Caenorhabditis elegans: one gene and its partner. The protein of the gene in region 1 interacts with the protein of each later gene in a pairwise test. Each region holds a gene or a part of one and is shown on either strand. Other genes may lie near its edges.

Region 1 (7,118 bases):
AAACTTCAATTGTTTTCCTATATTTCTATATAAATTTCTGTTAAAAACCTTCGACACAACCATGAGATATAGAGGATTTTGCAAATGTGCCGCACATGCCTGAACCAGTGTACATAATTCGATATTATGATCTTCGCAATTATCATATTCATATTATATGATTACGTGATATGATATGCATATTCAAAATTCATATAGTTTTTTAAGAAAACTTATGAAAATTTTTAAATTTAAAATTTTTCAGCTTGTGGTAGATGACAAATCCCAATTGGAAATGCCACCGGTAGATGCAGCCGAAGTGAAGAAAAAGTTCGACGAAAATCTGCTTCAAAAAATTTAATAAATGAAATACAATTTTATCCATGACGTTTTTGCTTCGATATTCTTGTTTCCTCTGCACGTGTTGTTCTTTTTCTGTGGCGCTTAGAATCATCATCACTGAACAGGCAACGGCGTTCAGTGGAACTAGTTTGCACAACCAAATAAGCTGACTAACCCGTAGAAAGCGAAACGCAAATTCGGGGTATTACGCAAAAAAAAACAGAACTACAGAATTACATAAGAGGCACATAGTTCAACTGTGGGTGGCTTAATAAAACTAGAAATGGAGAAATGGGAGAAGCTGAAAAGAAACACGAAGATTACGGTATGACTCATGGTGCATCGTTTGAATTTATTTCTTTATGTTCGCCAAGTTATGTAGGTACAAATCAGAAACAGTAATAAAACCTTCATTGAATATGCCGGAAAGTTATTGTAGTTTTCTCAGAGGGTTGAATCAGATATTCACATTTTAATAACAATATTGGAAAATCATGGATCATAGAGAGAACAACTGACCATATTATGGGTGCGCGAAAAAACTTCGTTTGATAACGCTCCGCCCCTAAACTTTGTGTCTCGTTAGGTATTTGGCGGCAATACCAAATTCAAAATCTTTGGAACAACAATGACATTTTGAAATTTATAAAACTTTTTTCAATATTTTTTCTACCTTAAAATCATTTAAAAAAAAAAAAAAAAAAAAAAAAACGGAAAAAATAAAAAAGAAGGCAATACATATATTATGGGAACACAAAATTCTGAGAATGCGTATTGAGCAACATACTTGACGCGCAAAATATCTCATAGCGTAAACTACAGTAATTCTTTAAACGACTACTGTAGCGCTTGTGTTGATTTACGGGCTCGATTTTCGAAATGAAAATTAAGCAAAACATGAGAAAATAATAAGAAGAAACCAAAGGAAAATGGATTATCGATGTCACAATCGAGCCCGTAAATCGACACAAGAGCTACAGTTGTCATTTGAAGAATTACTGTAATTTTCGCTACGAGATATTCTGCGCGTCAAATATGTTGCGCAATACGCATTCTCAGAATTTTGTCTTTCCGTAATAAATATGATTGAAAAAATTTTGAATTTACAGCTTTACCGTCAAGACACAACGCGACCCAACGTTAATGGGTTACTAGAATTTAGTTTGAATATTCATGAATTTATTCAATTTAATTACTATACATTTTAAAGTAGAGATTCCATGGATTACAAGTGACATTGAACAATTCAAAGTTGAGGCTTTATTCCCTTTGAACTTCTTCATCTTCCTCCATCCACTCCCGTCTCATCTAATCCCAGAAGTGCAAGGTCTATGACAGCAGTAGCAGCAGCAGCCCGTCAATTTCGTTAACCGGTTGGATCATCTGCGCTTACTCGACCGAATATCTTCTGCTACCTTTTTTGGAGGAGAGAGAGAACAGTCACGCCCATCAGAGCATAACATTAAAAAGACCGACAAACTGGTGTTGTGCAGTCAATTGCTGCCTGATCCAAGTCTACATTCTCGTCTCGTCATTTTCAAAAATAAAATGCAATTATCCAGTGTTTTTTCTCTTGTATTCTCAAGCTTAATCGCGATTTCAAGGTAAGATTCTGTTTGAAATATTGCTTTTAAATGTTTTTATCTCAGAAAATTTGGTTAAATTCGAGAAATCGAAACACCTTTCCCCTGAACCTAGAAAATACAGTTTTCAGTGCTCTTCCAGCATCGTACTCCTCGTCACTCAATGATCCACTTCTGTCAAGCCTCGGGCTAGGTGAGATATTCTTTAAAAACAATTCACACTGCAATATTTTGGAATTTCAGGTTCCATGGGAATGGGCATGGGCGGCATGAATGGAATGTACGGAGGAATGCCACCACCGATGCCTCCACCCGGAATGAGCCCGTATGGAATGGGTGGAATGGGTGGAATGAGCCCATATGGAATGATGGGACCAATGGGTGGAATGGGAGGAATGAGCCCATACGGAGGAGGCATGTCACCATATGGAATGGGATCGATGGGCGGTATGGGATCATCAATGTCCTTCCCATTCATGGGTAAGAAGAAGTAACCTCTGAAAAATGTTGAATCTCTTTATTTATCTGTCGAAGAATCTCATATCACATGTTCGTCTTTCTTCTCCTTGTATAATAAAATTCCATTTAATTTATTTACATTGTTTAACAGTATTGCCACCAATAATAGAAGCAGAACATGAATATCAGGCAACAAATTACACCGATCATAAAGAGTTTCTTGTCTTCTCGCACACGCTTTTCGATGAGTCGAATTGTGGTATCAGATATTCCCAGCTGAAAGATTTTCATCTAATTTATTGAGCGAAACCAGATATACTTACGGATTTGGTCAGAAAATGGAATCGTTTTCGAATGCTCAGCAAGTTGTACTTCTGTTTTTGAAGATCCTCAAAGACGCTTGCACCTTGGGCTAGCATTTGATCGATCTGAAATTTAATATTTAATATTAATTTACATTTATCGATTTCACAAAAATTTACCATATTATCCGAGTATTTCAGTTTATCATTCAAGTTGAGCTCTTCGTCAAATTCCAGATTCACACGCGTTTCTTGATTTGTTGTAAACCTGGAAAGAGTTATTAAAAAAACTATAGATTATTTATTTTAATTACCAACCTCTGTTTCAGAAGTGCTTTCTTTTCTTCTGCTTGCTTCTTTCGATTAGTGTGACGATTTGTCATTGTTCTCAATGAATTTTTGATAAGACACACATCACTTTTCAATTGATCCATTTTGAACGAAGCTTTCTGTCTAACTGGAGCCGGTTCTCTGCCCAGTTGTGATTCCAGTCGAAACATGTGTGTTTCAGTTTTCCTAAAAAAAGATTCTTGTTGGAATTAAATAAAATTATCAGTTTTACATAAGACTACTATTTGCATCCTGAATTAATCGATCCACTTCGTGATTTCCCGTTTGACGTTCAATCGCAATCAAAAGTAGCTGAACATTGTCGATTTCTTCCCTAGTGGCCTTGAGTTGTGTATCCATCGACTCTAAAATATAAAAATAAAATTCTTCAAAGTGAAAGTACTCACTTTTAAAATTAAAAACAAGAAATGCCAGTGAATATTCAGAAAATACGAAATTAGAAAATAAAATCCACGATTTCTCAATGGCATGCCTATGTGACGTCAGCTTACGTTTTTTATGACGTGGAACGGAATCGTAGTTTTTAAAATAATTTTAATAATCATTTCTTTTAATTTGAAAGAAAATTATTAAATTGAAACGTTGAAAAATGATTTCGCTGAAAGATAAAATTTGAAAAAAAATTGCCTCGAAAAAATCTAGTGCAATTGCGCTCTATCGAACATTTGTTAGAGAGTGAGAGACGGCAGAAACCAAAAAGTACGGTAGTTTCTGATTTTTAGAGATTTCAAGTTGAAAAATTAAAATATAAAAATGAAAATGTGCGGATTTTTTCCGCGTTCTGGACATGGCATAACAAATTTGAATGAAGAATATGAGAATTCAAGGAGTATTCATCTGCATCGAAATTTTGAAGTTACAGTACCCTTTAAAGGCACACACCTTCCCGAATATAACAAAAATTAGTCGTTTCGAGACCGGGAACCGAATTATTCGACCTAAATTCGTAAAATTTTGCGTCTGGGTGAGAAAATCACTATTATCTAAATATTTGGGAAACTTTTATTGAAAATTTCATTACCCTTGAATATAATTCCTATTATTTTTTGAAACCTCCTTTTTTAATATAAAATCCCACATTTCCAATATTTAAGAATCAAAAATCCAACTCACAAATTTCCCGTCGAGAAACATGTTTACAACCAGCTATCAACACCCGAAATCCCCACGAGACGTGACCCGATAAAAGTTGAGAGGAGGGTTTATAATGAGCATTTTATGGTCCGGGTGCGTAGCAATGATCTGGCTCAATGGACGAAAAAAGAGCACAAAAAAGAGAGCAAGAATGAGATTGAGAGAAGGACGGGAAGCTTTTCGGTGAGCTTTCCGTCATTTTTTCCGAGTTTCCAAGTGTGCCTCATTTTTGGTGAAAAAAGAAAAAAAGTGTTTTTTTAGTTTTGTCTCTGACGTATGAGATATTCCATTTTATTTTTATATAAATAAATAAGTTAAGATCTTCGCGCAGAAAAGTAGAAAAAAAAGTGTTCGCGTTCTTAGAATGTATTGAAATTGCAAGCAATTTTCAAAAGAATGACTTTGAAAGTGCCAGGTAGGAAGTGTAGGCGACATTTTTTGTCTGATGTTTCATAATTTTTTTCTGCTTTGTAAAATTATTGGCTTTGTCGTTTTTCCAAATGTGTATTGAACCTAGTTTCCATAGCTCAAAATTACGGTTTTTTTTTTTGAAAATTAAAATTAGTTATTAAAAAATAATTTTAAAGTGATCTCTGAAATTTTTAGTCAGGTTTTCTAGACTTGAAATATAATATGAAAGTTGGAGTTCTGAAAATTGTTAAATATTTACCAAAATTGAAAATAAAATTGACGTTTTAAAGAAATTTTTGGAATTTCTATTAACTTCTGTGAAAATGTGAAACGTCACTTCGAAGGCACTAGCTGTTCGTCTGATAATGAAAGGGTCTCGCCACGAATTTAGCTTCTAACTATAACTATCAAGTTTTGCAAAACTTCTCATTAAAAGTGACAATTGAAATGTTAGAATTTTTTTTGAACGTTTTGTTTTCGAAATATATGTATAAGTTTTTTTGAAAAATAAGAATAATCGACTTTTTTACTAAATTTTAAAAATCTTGTATCCCTATTGTGCAAAAAGGCTCCCCGCAATCTATTTGCACTTGAATTTGTTACAAGAAAAATTATATTGTACTTCTGTTAAAAATTGTCACTTCACTTCAAAGGCACGCGCTGTTTTTGTGTGGGTCTTGCCACAACCTCAGCTACAGTAGTCGCTACAAATTTCAAGCTGTAAATACAGAGAAAACCAGAATTTATCAGATTTTTAGCACCTAAAATCATAAGCAAACTAATTTACCGTATTTCCTCTATTAGTCTTGCAGCCTCTATTGGAATTGCATGCAAGACTAATAGAGAGCATACGGTATTAGTCTTGCACCCCTATTCTAGGCAGACCAGCAGTATTTTGTGAAAACTTCAACAATTTCGCCATTTTATAGCTAAATTAAATTTTAAAGTGTTAAAATAATTGATAAAACAATAGAAAAGTATGTATTTTGCATGATTTAGACTGTTTCGAGTCAAATTTTTTACGATAAATGGCCAATTTTATAAAGCTATTGGATCTTCGAAAATTAGTCTTGCAGCCTCTAATAGTCTTGCAGTCTCTATTAGTCTTGCACCTCTACGGGTCAATTGAAACTTAGTCTTGCATGCAAGACTAATAGAGGAAATACGGTACAGATAAAAAAATTCAATTTCATTTTTCGACGTTTCATTCCGTTCCAAAATTTCCGGATTATAAAAACGGGAACCAGTTATTTAAAAAAATCGAAAAACCAAGTTACTCGGATTCTCTTGAATCCGGAAAAACTGGACGACGGGGGCCCGGTTTATTCCGGTTTACCAGTATTAGCTAAGATAAGTATTTTTAACAGTACGCCTTTTAAGATTACATCAAAAAAGTTATTTTTCACCAGTGGCAAAATTTGCGGTCCTACCTTTCCGAATTTCATTCCCAAAAATCTCGCAGCGCTTACGTCACCCGCCGGCGAAATATTCGTGTCACCTGCTAGACAGTAGTTGCTCAAACTTCCACTATTATGTTCTCTATTTCCATTTTTTTTGTCTTCAACTCTTCGTTACTAAATACGACCTTGCCTTCTTCTTCGCCTTCATCTTGGTTTTTTATTCTTGACTCCTTCTTCTTCTTTGCTTTTCCTTCACTTCCTGCCCTGTCTTGTTTCGCTCTCCTTTCGAAGTAAATACCCTCGGGAGGAGAGGTTCTTCTCTCCTTCTTCAGATGTGTCTGTTTTCTGTTTTTGTGTGTATGTATTTGGTGGTGGCGCATCAATTGCCATCGCTTGCTCTCGATTATTCTAATCCCTTTCGCGGGGGGTGAAATCGTTTCTTTTTCATTTTGAGTGGTGGTGGTGGTGGTGGACGAGTCGCGGGGTGCTCTGAAGTTTCTCCGAAAGAGAGACCCACAAGTTTTATTTTGAAACAAGTTGAGAGTCTTCAGAGTTGAGATTCTGTCCCATATACTGAATGGGCGCAAGTCCCCAGCGAGAGAGGTAGAACAACACCACCGACAACATCAGAGAGAAAGGATTGATGAGGTCAGTTAACTTTTTTGCAAATTTAAGGTAATTTAAGTGGGGAAATTATTTAAAACTGCCCATACAGTGAAAAATTTTCCAAATATCACAGTAAACGTTCAAATTTTTTTAATGAATTTATTTTTAATCTACGGTCAAAAAGTGGTGAAGTCTACCCAGTTTTTACTGATGATAATGCTGAAAGTCTACCAAAAAATAATTGTTTCTAAAAATGTTTTAATTCGATCTAGTGGATCAAAGAAATACTCAAAACTATTCCAAAAGTCAAAATTTTTTGGAAAAATTGACAATTCACAAAAATTTTTGACTGAAGATTTGAAAAATCTAATCACTTTTGAACTCTTTTGTAAGATTTGCGGTTAACTTGGACTATAGTTAGTATATCATAAAAACCTTTATATTATAGAAAATGGCAAACATCTGTGTGAATTCAGTTAGGAAAAATATTTTGTTCTACTAACTTTGCCAGAAACAGAGCAAGATCTCCCAGAATTTTTTTTTCAAAAAGT
Region 2 (9,410 bases), on another chromosome or scaffold:
TTGATACGACTGCACTTACTTCTTGCATCACAACTGTTAAACAGATGGAATTTCAGTGCAAAAAAAAGAAAACGTTATGAAACAGAAGTTATGAAACCGAAGAAAGTTCCAAATTTAAAAACATGTTTTGGTCGTTTACCTTACGTTGTTTTGTTAATGAAGATACGTTTCAAGCAATTAGGGACCAAAAATTACCACAATTTGCTACCTAAGTCTTTGTGACTGGGAAAAATTGAAACAACTCGAGTTTTTGACTGAAATTTGGGTATTGCCTTTTCAAAATTTTGAACCCCCATAAACAAGTTTTTAAGTAATTTTTGAGAAGTAGTATTTCAAATTTCGTTCGTTTGGTTTTGTTAAAAATCACACGGAAAAAAAGCCGAAACCGTTTTTTTACTTTAACAAGGAATACATTTGTGAGAAGAATGAAGATTACCAATATAATTTGAAATACTTCAGACAACCACAATAAAAGTAAGCAAGAAGCGAGTCCTACCGGTCTCCGAGCAAGATCTTCCACAGCCAGCTTTCGTTACTGAAGGATACGAGCCGAAGCATCCACTCCGAGTGTACAACGACGTTCGTTCAAAACCATACATTTGTGAATATTGTTCGAAAAGCTACTCTGACAGTCGTGGTCTTGCATATCACATGTACAGTCATCGTGGAGAGAAGTACTTCAATCCTCGAGCATCTCGTTATATGATGGGAAGGGAAGGAGTTGGGTACACTGATTCCAGAAGCTACTATTTATTCCCAAGAACAAGCGGATACGTGACTCCGCGATTCTGAGCAACCCCTGAGTATTTAAAATTTTTCTAATTTAGTATTTAAATCTATCCAGATCTTGTAAAATATATATATATTTCAACATCGGCTAGCTTTAACAATATTTGTCCTTCAAAATGTATATTCGATATGGTTCTTTCATATAACTCATATTTCTTTCTTTCAACTAAATCAACGTTTTTCTTTAGTGTTATCGTTTTCTCATTTCTTGTCATTTTGTCTTTTCCTCACATTTTTAAGACGCTCGTTATAAAGACGGTCAGCAGCAGAAACTCGTTTTGTGTTCAACATAAACTACAATTGACTACAAAGCACAAAAATCGTGTGTTTCCAACGCACTCAGACACACTCTATAAATACTGTTCTCGTCATGTCTTGTTGGTATTTTCTTCTTTCCCTGAAATATCGATTCCTGGTCAATCGTACAATTGGGACCATGTTAAGCGGGAAAGACATTGACCGCTAGCACAAATGTTGTCCGGCTCTCTCACAATCAATCTTTCTTCTGTGATGTGTTACGACAACCCACAACCGATTTTTTGATAGCAAAAATGATAAGATGATGATAGCGAGACAGCTCAATTGTTCGTTGTTCTAGAAGTTGTACGTTTTTTTAAATTTATTTTGCATCATTTTGAATTCATTATTTAAAAATGTATAAAATTGTTTAATTAACGGTTCTCGAAATATTTTGCCACTTCACAGCCACGATATCTCACTCAATAAAGCAAATGCAATTTGGGACACGCACTTGTGTTCGTTATTAATATCGAGTCCCCATTGAAAAAACTAGGCCACGCGGCCGTGAAGTACTCTCGGAAAACTACACCATTTTTTATTTTTTTATTCTACTTATATTTTCTCAAATCTCTTACTTTCAATTAATGCTTATAATTAAGACTCACAAAAATAATTTTTAGGTATGACACAAGAAAGTAACTCAAACTTTTTCAACTTCCTTCTTTTCGGGTTTGTGACCGCTATTGCCTTTTATTCGGGTACCCAATTCAACAAATCTAGCGAACAGGAAGAGGTAACTCTTTACATTTTCAGCTGATTGCGCACATATCCATTTACAGCACATCAACCATGCTAACTTGTATTCGGTAAAGAAGTTTGATGATGGAGCAAAAGAATACTCAATAATGTTGATCACCGATTTGGATCATGACAGCAAAGACGGGAAGAAGTGGAAAAGTTTGGTCTCTCGTGGATTTTTGAAGGTGAGAAGGACGGCAAGAAACTAATGCATTATGCTCAGCTTGACCAATATGATTTTTATAAAATGCAACTTGCTTTTTTCGAATCGCTATAGGAAATTTTCAAATTTATATTTCAGGTTTCTGCAGACCACAAGCATGCCGATATTCATTTTGACAAAGACTCGGAGTACTATGTTGACACGTAAGTTTACAAAATGTGTTTTTATAGATTTTTTTGTTTTGACTTCATTACTAAAATCATCATTTTAGAAATATTGCCGCCGGTGGACGCGCTATGGAGTTGTCTGACCTTGCCGTCTTCAATGGTAAACTGTACTCAATTGACGATAGAACAGGTCTTATTTATCAAATTAGTGACAAGAAGGTGAGTGATGAGTGGTTAAACAATGATATTTGTGTAGTGGATTGATTTTTAAAAAATATAATATTGTTTTGAAGGCACTTCCCTGGGTATTACTGAACGATGGGCCAGGAAACGTCGTGAAGGGATTTAAAGGAGAATGGATCACTGTTAAGGATACCGAATTGATTGTTGGAGGATTGGGAAAAGAATGGACGACCACTGACGGAGTTTATGTGAACGATCACCCAATGTGGGTGAAGCATGTCTCTGCTCACGGAGCCGTTCATCACGAAAACTGGAAGGATGTATATATCCGCGTTCGTAGAGCTGCTGGGATCGAATATCCCGGATACATGATTCACGAAGCTGTTCAATGGTCTGCAATTCACAGAAAATGGTTCTTCCTTCCACGTAGAATGTCAAATGAGAAGTATTCTGAGGCGGAGGACGAGAACCGCGGAACAAACGTTCTTGTGATTGGAAATGAAGAGTTGACTGATTTTGAGGTTGTGCGAGTAGGATCGGAGAATAACAAATCCAGAGGGTTTGCTGCTTTCCAATTTGTGCCAAACACTCATCACCAGCTCATCGTTGCCATCAAGTCGGAGGAAAAGGTAAGTAACAGGTTTTATCTACACAATTTTAAAAACAAAATCCGTTAATCTCAATGCTCGGTTTATAAAATTGTATTCCAGGATGGAAAACCAGTAGCAAGTTATGCAAGTGTTTTCGACATTCATGGTAATGTTATTCTTGACGAATATCTTCTTCATGGTCCATACAAATACGAAGGAATTGCATTTGCCTAATCACTTCAATTAATGTATTTTTGTCTCAATTCCCACCTTCCAGTCAGGTCCAAATCTGTGTTCTCGATATTATGTGATTTTTGTCAAATACTATGTAATGGTTATTTAAATAAAATAAATATATAAACATTTTATTCAACATTTTTTGCATGCATAAAGCTGCCAGTGGGTAAAAATATATATAAAAAAATACTCAAGTAAGTGGGAATCAATAAATTATTTAATTTACAAAGTCTACACGGGAAAATAAAATAACATTGGCAATATTTTTCTTAATATGCTGGTTTGAACCGTTTGATTTCGAGCATCACTTGATGAACGTTGACTAACTGGGAACACACGGGATTTTTAGCAAATACGTCATGGGACAGAATCTTTGTGAATCTATTGATATACTGAACGTACTTTGTGAAGATTGTCTGAAATCATCTAGTTAAAACTGAAATTCGGCTCTAGGAAATAAATTTTAACCTGTAAAATGGTGGTTCCCAGGCTGAAGTTAGTGAAAAGTTGTATGCATTCTGAATTAATACTGTCCACTGCAGGTCTCCACTTTGCATTGAAGTTTGCTACCACCGTTCCAACTTTGTCTGAAATTAAAATATTAGAGAATAGAAAATTATATATGACAACTTGCCATTATATCGAACTAAGAGTTGTGTATGACCTTGAACAATCAGAGATTCACACTCGTTGACAAATTTAATCATGTACCCAATATGTGGCTCTAGCATCTCTTCAACAAAATCATCAATACTTTTTTGTTCAAGCTCATGGACAATTGCATAAATCTTTGTATGCTTGCTTTCCTCGTTATCGATAATCGAAAGAATAAGATCGTAATTGTTAATCAGAAAGACGTGCTTATTTTTCTGAGTTTGCTGCATAGCTGACATTCGAGTCAATAGTTGTTCAATAGAGTCTTCACTGTTCTCCAAGACAGCTTCCATCTTTGCACCCATTTCCTTTCCACTTGCTTTTGCTATCATCAAATGTGCACTTGTCAGTTCGGCGTACCGTCGGACTATCTGTAACATCTGAATTTTTTTGATTATAAAAAACAATCAAAAACTTACGAAATGCGGTCTTGCATCAAGTGAACCGCTATGCATCAACTTCTTCAAATCAACAGATTTGACACTTTCGTAGTGTTGAGACATGACCAAATTGAGGCGGGTCCAAAGGAAGCTTGTGACAGTATTCCAATAATCGCTAACTTCTGGTACCTCTCTCTCGGCGAGCACTTCGGTAAACTTGTCACATAGACAAATGCACAGATGAAGACTGATGGCGTCCCAACTAAGGGCGATTTGCTCCTCGCAGCTTTTGAGCACAACTGACATTGCTCGAGCCATAGCCTGAAAGCAATTATAAGCTTTTTTCCGGTAGTGAAAAGGCAAACAACTATTGTAAATGTAACATTACTACGTAATAGATATTAGGTCTTTCCAGGTCCTCGTAACATACCTTGTTATGCAGTTCAATGGCTTCATCATTGCTGACAAGGAAAAAGTCGGTAATAAAGAGGTACTCATGGCTGTAGTGATCGACAAATGCCAGTTGAATAGAACGAAATAGTGCTTCAAATTGATACTGAAAATATAATTTAATTTGGTCCCTACCAGTTCTATTGTAAGGTATACCGATTGATGGTTCTGCGTAGCTGCGTGGGGAACAATCAAGGCTCCTAAAAAGTCGTCAGAGAGAATTTGATGTCGTTGCCCAATCGAAAAAACGGTTGCCTTATTCCGAACAACGTGTTGTTTCGACGAGAAAATTGCGCCTAATCCAGCGGGTTTTGCAAAATCAATACTTCCCAAAGCGTCTTCTTTGGTGGCCACGTCTTTCATCTTAAATAATTACTCTGGTGAATATACTTGAAAAATGTGTCTCAACCTACCGCAAGTTTGAACAGGCGTGTGGCGTATGCTTTGAAATACGTGAAGAACATCTTGCTGATGGTGTCAATGTACTCGTCTTGAAGTTCCTTGGCAGAGATCAAGTCATGGTGCAACAGGAATTCGTAGAAAAATCGGCATTTGAGAAGCTGGTGTTGAAAAACTTGGTAGTTGGACAGAGGTTTACGGAATTGGAACATTTTCTGAAGCAACCATTCCCTCACTTTTACAACCGCCTGAAAAAAAACATTTTTGAAATGTAAACTTTTGTAAAAAAAAAAACACCCAACCTTAAGCTTTAGTCCTTCCAAAATCGGCATAGTGTCGTTTACCGCTACCGCATCTCCATTTCCCCTTTGCAAAATTAAGGTTATTTTGTGGTGTAACTCGTGGAGCGCTTCCAAAAAACCCCTGTCATTTGCATCAGTGTCGTTGATAGTTTTCATCATCGTTTGAGAAACAGCAATATCGTCTACAAATTGGCTCAGCTCGACTCTAACTTTTTGCCGGTTTTCCAGTTCCTGAGAAGATTATAGTACGTTGAAATTGGAAAATTAATTTACTTGATGAATATGATGCGACTGTAGCTGCAAATTTTTCATATCCTGCCCAATTGATCCTAGATTGTCTTGAAAACTGTACAATGTTGCTTGCAAGCGCTAAAAAGTTTAATTAAATAGTCGACTGATTTATATATTGGCAATTTTTACAATATACTTACTTCAAAAACATTATCACAATGCACAAGTTGATTATGGAGTTGAGCCAACTGCTCAGAGTTATCAAGACACTGTTGAACAGAATAACGATGTGCCTCCGATAGCCGCGTGCTGACGTCGTCTGAATTATTGATTTTTCAAATGTTGACATTTAGAGACATACTTTTCGACTCGGTTAGTCCGTCACCAGAAGCAATTGCTTTTTTCACCAAATTCGGATCTGCTTTTCGCAATTGCGATAAACAAAATTCTAGCGACGATATTGTGAAACTACGGTCATTTGCCTCGGATTTTTGCAAGTTGACACGTGTTCGAGGCATTATTTGTGCTGAAATTGTTTCAATAAAAATTTTGATGAATAACTAACGTTAATAAATAAAAAATAGCGATAAACCAAAGAAAAAACAATTGGTAACACGTCGTTAAACGATGCTCCGCTTTTTACACCCCGCGCGGTGTTTAGAATAATGGTGTGCTTGTGTGCGAGGAAGGCGAGGAAAATGCTCGCCAAGGAGGTTATGCAGAACAATTGGAAAAATGAGAATGTGTGGATTTTTGAATTTTTATAGAGAATTTAATTTATCTATTTGGTATATTTTTGACAATTCGCTACGAGAAATCTAAAACACTATTAAATCTTCAAACCCCAACAATATTGAAATTTGGATTTTTGTTTAGTGAAAAAATAAGTGAAAATATGAATTTTTCTGATCAAAGACTTTCATAATAATTGGTGAAAACCTAGTTTTCAGCGCATTAGGCTCGAAATAAAAAATTTCTCAAAACTTTTTGAATCCTTCGATTCAAATATTTCCCGTTTTACAAAAAATTAGACAAATTTCTAAACTATATGGCTTCCTTCATTTTCTTGGAAAAATACACTTGAAAAATACAATGGAACGTGGAGAATCATATATATATTATTATTATGATGAGAAAAATGACTGAAAAAATTTGGAGCAAAATCGGAAGTCTTTCAGACAACCTCTCAAAGATATGCCTTGACAACCGATATGTGCAATTTGGAAGTGAATGAGGTGGAAATCGAGTATAAATATTAAGTGTTATACAGTTGAATAATACAGTTTAATAGTTAAAAAAAAATACTTCAAACAGGAAAGAGATTATCAATATGCTTCGAGTTGATCCTTGTTTTGTTTTTTGACGAAACTGTAGCTCATTTTGCGTTGCTTGGAATCAGAGTCGGCTTCCTGAGGAAGATGCGGTGGCTGGAACTGTATCCTGACGTTGAATGGATTGAAGGGCGGCATTCATCATTTCTTGAACTGGAAAGTTCTGAGATGTGCCTCCTGAACCAACCTTGCTGATTCCTCCGAGAATCTCCATTGGGAACGGGAAGATGATTGTGCTGGTTTTCTCGGAACTGAAATTTTATTTTGTTAGTTAAAAGTTGATAGTGCGCTTCCATTACCTGATAGCATTGAGTGTGTGCAGATATCGAAGCTGCATGGCTCCCTCGCTTTTTGAAATGATGGTGGCGGCTTCAGCAAGAGCGGCAGATGCTCTTAATTCTCCTTCGGCAGCGATAATCTGAAATTAATTGCAATCGAAATTAATAATTATTGGTCCCCCGCATTTTGCTATGCTCATCATGTCGGCTCACCTTTGCTCCAGCATCACGAGTAGCCTCGGCTTCAGCAGCCATAGCACGTTGCATTTGAGATGGAAGACGGACATCGCGAAGCTCGACACGTTCAACCTTGATTCCCCATGGCTCTGTAGCTTCATCGAGCGAGATTTTCATGTCGGCGGAGATTTTCTCACGGTCGGATAGAATTTCTGAAAGGGTATGGGTACCGAGAATTGTACGGAGGGTGGTTTGAGCCAAAAGTTTGGTAGAGTCGGTCGCATTGCCAACTCCGACGACCTAAAAATTCCAAATTAGATTGAACCGTACCAGCTGTTTAGTTTACCGAAGTGATTGGGTCAAACACCTTGAAGTAGACAACTGCGTCAACAGAAACGGTAACCGAATCGCGAGACAGAATCTGAAGAGAGAAAGATTATATCACAGTGAGCAGGTGTGTTGCGCAACATACCTCTTGTGAAGGGACATTGTACGATGCCACACGCAGATCGATATTCAAGAAAGTATCAATACAAGGTATGATGAAGAAGATTCCGGGACCTTTGACGTCAGGAACAAGACGTCCCAAACGGAAAACTACAGCACGTTGGTATTCCTGAACAATCTGAAGAAAAAATACATCCTTATACGTTCTTGTAGATAGAAATTTACCTTTATGCACATGAATACAGAGACGGGGAACGTGAGGAAGATAAGGACGTAGGACATTGCAATGCAAAACATCTCGGTGCATCCAGCATCATGAGAATGGTCTAATTAGATAAAAAAATTGTTAAATTTTCTTAAATTTGGTATTATTATTGTTAACAACCAAAAAATGGTACTAACTCAGTTTTTTCTACTCATCGTTTTGGGAGTTGACCAAAAAATTTGACAAATTACCAAAAGTTTGACTAATTTTTTTTTTTCAAAAGTCTAAACATTATAAAAGCGTGCTGATATGACAGTAATTTTTCCAACAATTTTGAACATTTAAATTCTAGTAAAAATACTGAAACTTTTTTCGTTTTACGATGACTTAAAGTTCTACATAAAACAAAACGAAAAAAAAACCAACTTGCTGGGGCCGATTGAACTCTCGCTTCGACATCGCGCTGCTGGCCGGAAGGTTGAGCCATTTCCTGCATCTCAACTGTTTCTGAGGGCTGCATCATAAGAGACGGACGGTACGGGGTCACAATTGCGTGATTTATGGTGAAAGGGGACTGTGCGACCGCCTACGCGAGCCGTCACAGAAGAGACACAAGGGCAAGGGAGAAATAAGAATAGAAGGAGAGAGGAGGGCAGGTGCGGAAAGAGAGCCGGTGGCTCTGAACTGAGCTGATTAATGTTGTGACCTTTTTCCTTGGTAACAGGAGAAAATAACTCGTGTGATTGTTTTTGGGGGTAGGTTGCTAAAATGCAATTAGTGAGAGGATGTAGGAAAAAGGCATTTTTGAATTAGAAACGATCAGTGGTGCGATGGAAGAGCAGAGCAGATGAAAAATGCCAAAAATTATGGAGCGTTAATTAAAAAGGTACAAGCTTAAGAGGACATATTCTGATTCAATTGTTAGAACAGATGGTTTTATATTCAAATTGTAAAATTATCTGACGAGAGGTTTTTTTATACAGAGAGTACCGGACGGTGTGAAAATAAAATGAGTGATCAAATGAAATTACATAACTATTTTTGTGATTTTACGTCAGAGATTACGTTCTTTTTCAAGAATCAAAATGTTAGTGGTTGGAGAAGCATCGAGTGATAACATGAGCCAGGTTTTTTTAGACGCCAATGCACAATATTCTCTGCGTCATTGGTGAAATTAAAAGTGTGAAAAAAAACTTTGCAATAGGTGATTTTATGTTATGAAATTGCGTTCGCTCGCGTTTGGTTCTGTCATATAAATGCGTCAGGTGTATAGGTGTATGTGTGAAAAAGTATAGGTTTTATGATAGTTCTATTTCTGTATAGATTTTTTTGATTTCATAATATTAAAATAAAAAAACAAAAATTAAGGTGATGTATGTAATTGACAAT

What was found. Proteins that work in one complex are often made in the same cells at the same time.
Region 2: the proteins of memb-2 (region 1) and vps-52 interact in a two-hybrid assay, tested with the Caenorhabditis elegans proteins (one study listed by BioGRID).

Annotation. Positions count from the first base shown.
Region 1 is NC_003283.11:5,615,842-5,622,959, forward strand, and holds memb-2 (Golgi SNAP receptor complex member 2), read right to left. Parts: upstream 3,361-7,118; 5' UTR 3,356-3,360; coding exon 3,228-3,355; intron 3,182-3,227; coding exon 2,984-3,181; intron 2,934-2,983; coding exon 2,846-2,933; intron 2,792-2,845; coding exon 2,687-2,791; intron 2,640-2,686; coding exon 2,508-2,639; 3' UTR 2,480-2,507; downstream 1-2,479. Other genes in the region: M03E7.3 (LITAF domain-containing protein), read left to right, coding at 245-340; M03E7.2 (uncharacterized protein), read left to right, coding at 1,870-1,925, 2,036-2,097, 2,148-2,398.
Region 2 is NC_003284.9:7,562,022-7,571,431, reverse strand, and holds vps-52 (Vacuolar protein sorting-associated protein 52 homolog), read right to left. Parts: upstream 6,110-9,410; 5' UTR 6,102-6,109; coding exon 5,945-6,101; intron 5,903-5,944; coding exon 5,784-5,902; intron 5,722-5,783; coding exon 5,626-5,721; intron 5,584-5,625; coding exon 5,353-5,583; intron 5,299-5,352; coding exon 5,065-5,298; intron 5,015-5,064; coding exon 4,808-5,014; intron 4,758-4,807; coding exon 4,632-4,757; intron 4,523-4,631; coding exon 4,241-4,522; intron 4,193-4,240; coding exon 3,802-4,192; intron 3,755-3,801; coding exon 3,636-3,754; intron 3,584-3,635; coding exon 3,437-3,583; 3' UTR 3,287-3,436; downstream 1-3,286. Other genes in the region: Zinc finger protein unc-98, read left to right, coding at 460-792; Apyrase apy-1, read left to right, coding at 1,712-1,822, 1,869-2,012, 2,129-2,193, 2,262-2,376, 2,451-2,969, 3,051-3,164; sto-1 (Stomatin-1), read right to left, coding at 6,979-7,165, 7,214-7,332, 7,406-7,669, 7,716-7,790, 7,842-7,994, 8,042-8,142, 8,448-8,541. UniProt on the Caenorhabditis elegans protein: Acts as a component of the GARP complex that is involved in retrograde transport from early and late endosomes to the trans-Golgi network (TGN). The GARP complex facilitates tethering as well as SNARE complex assembly at the Golgi.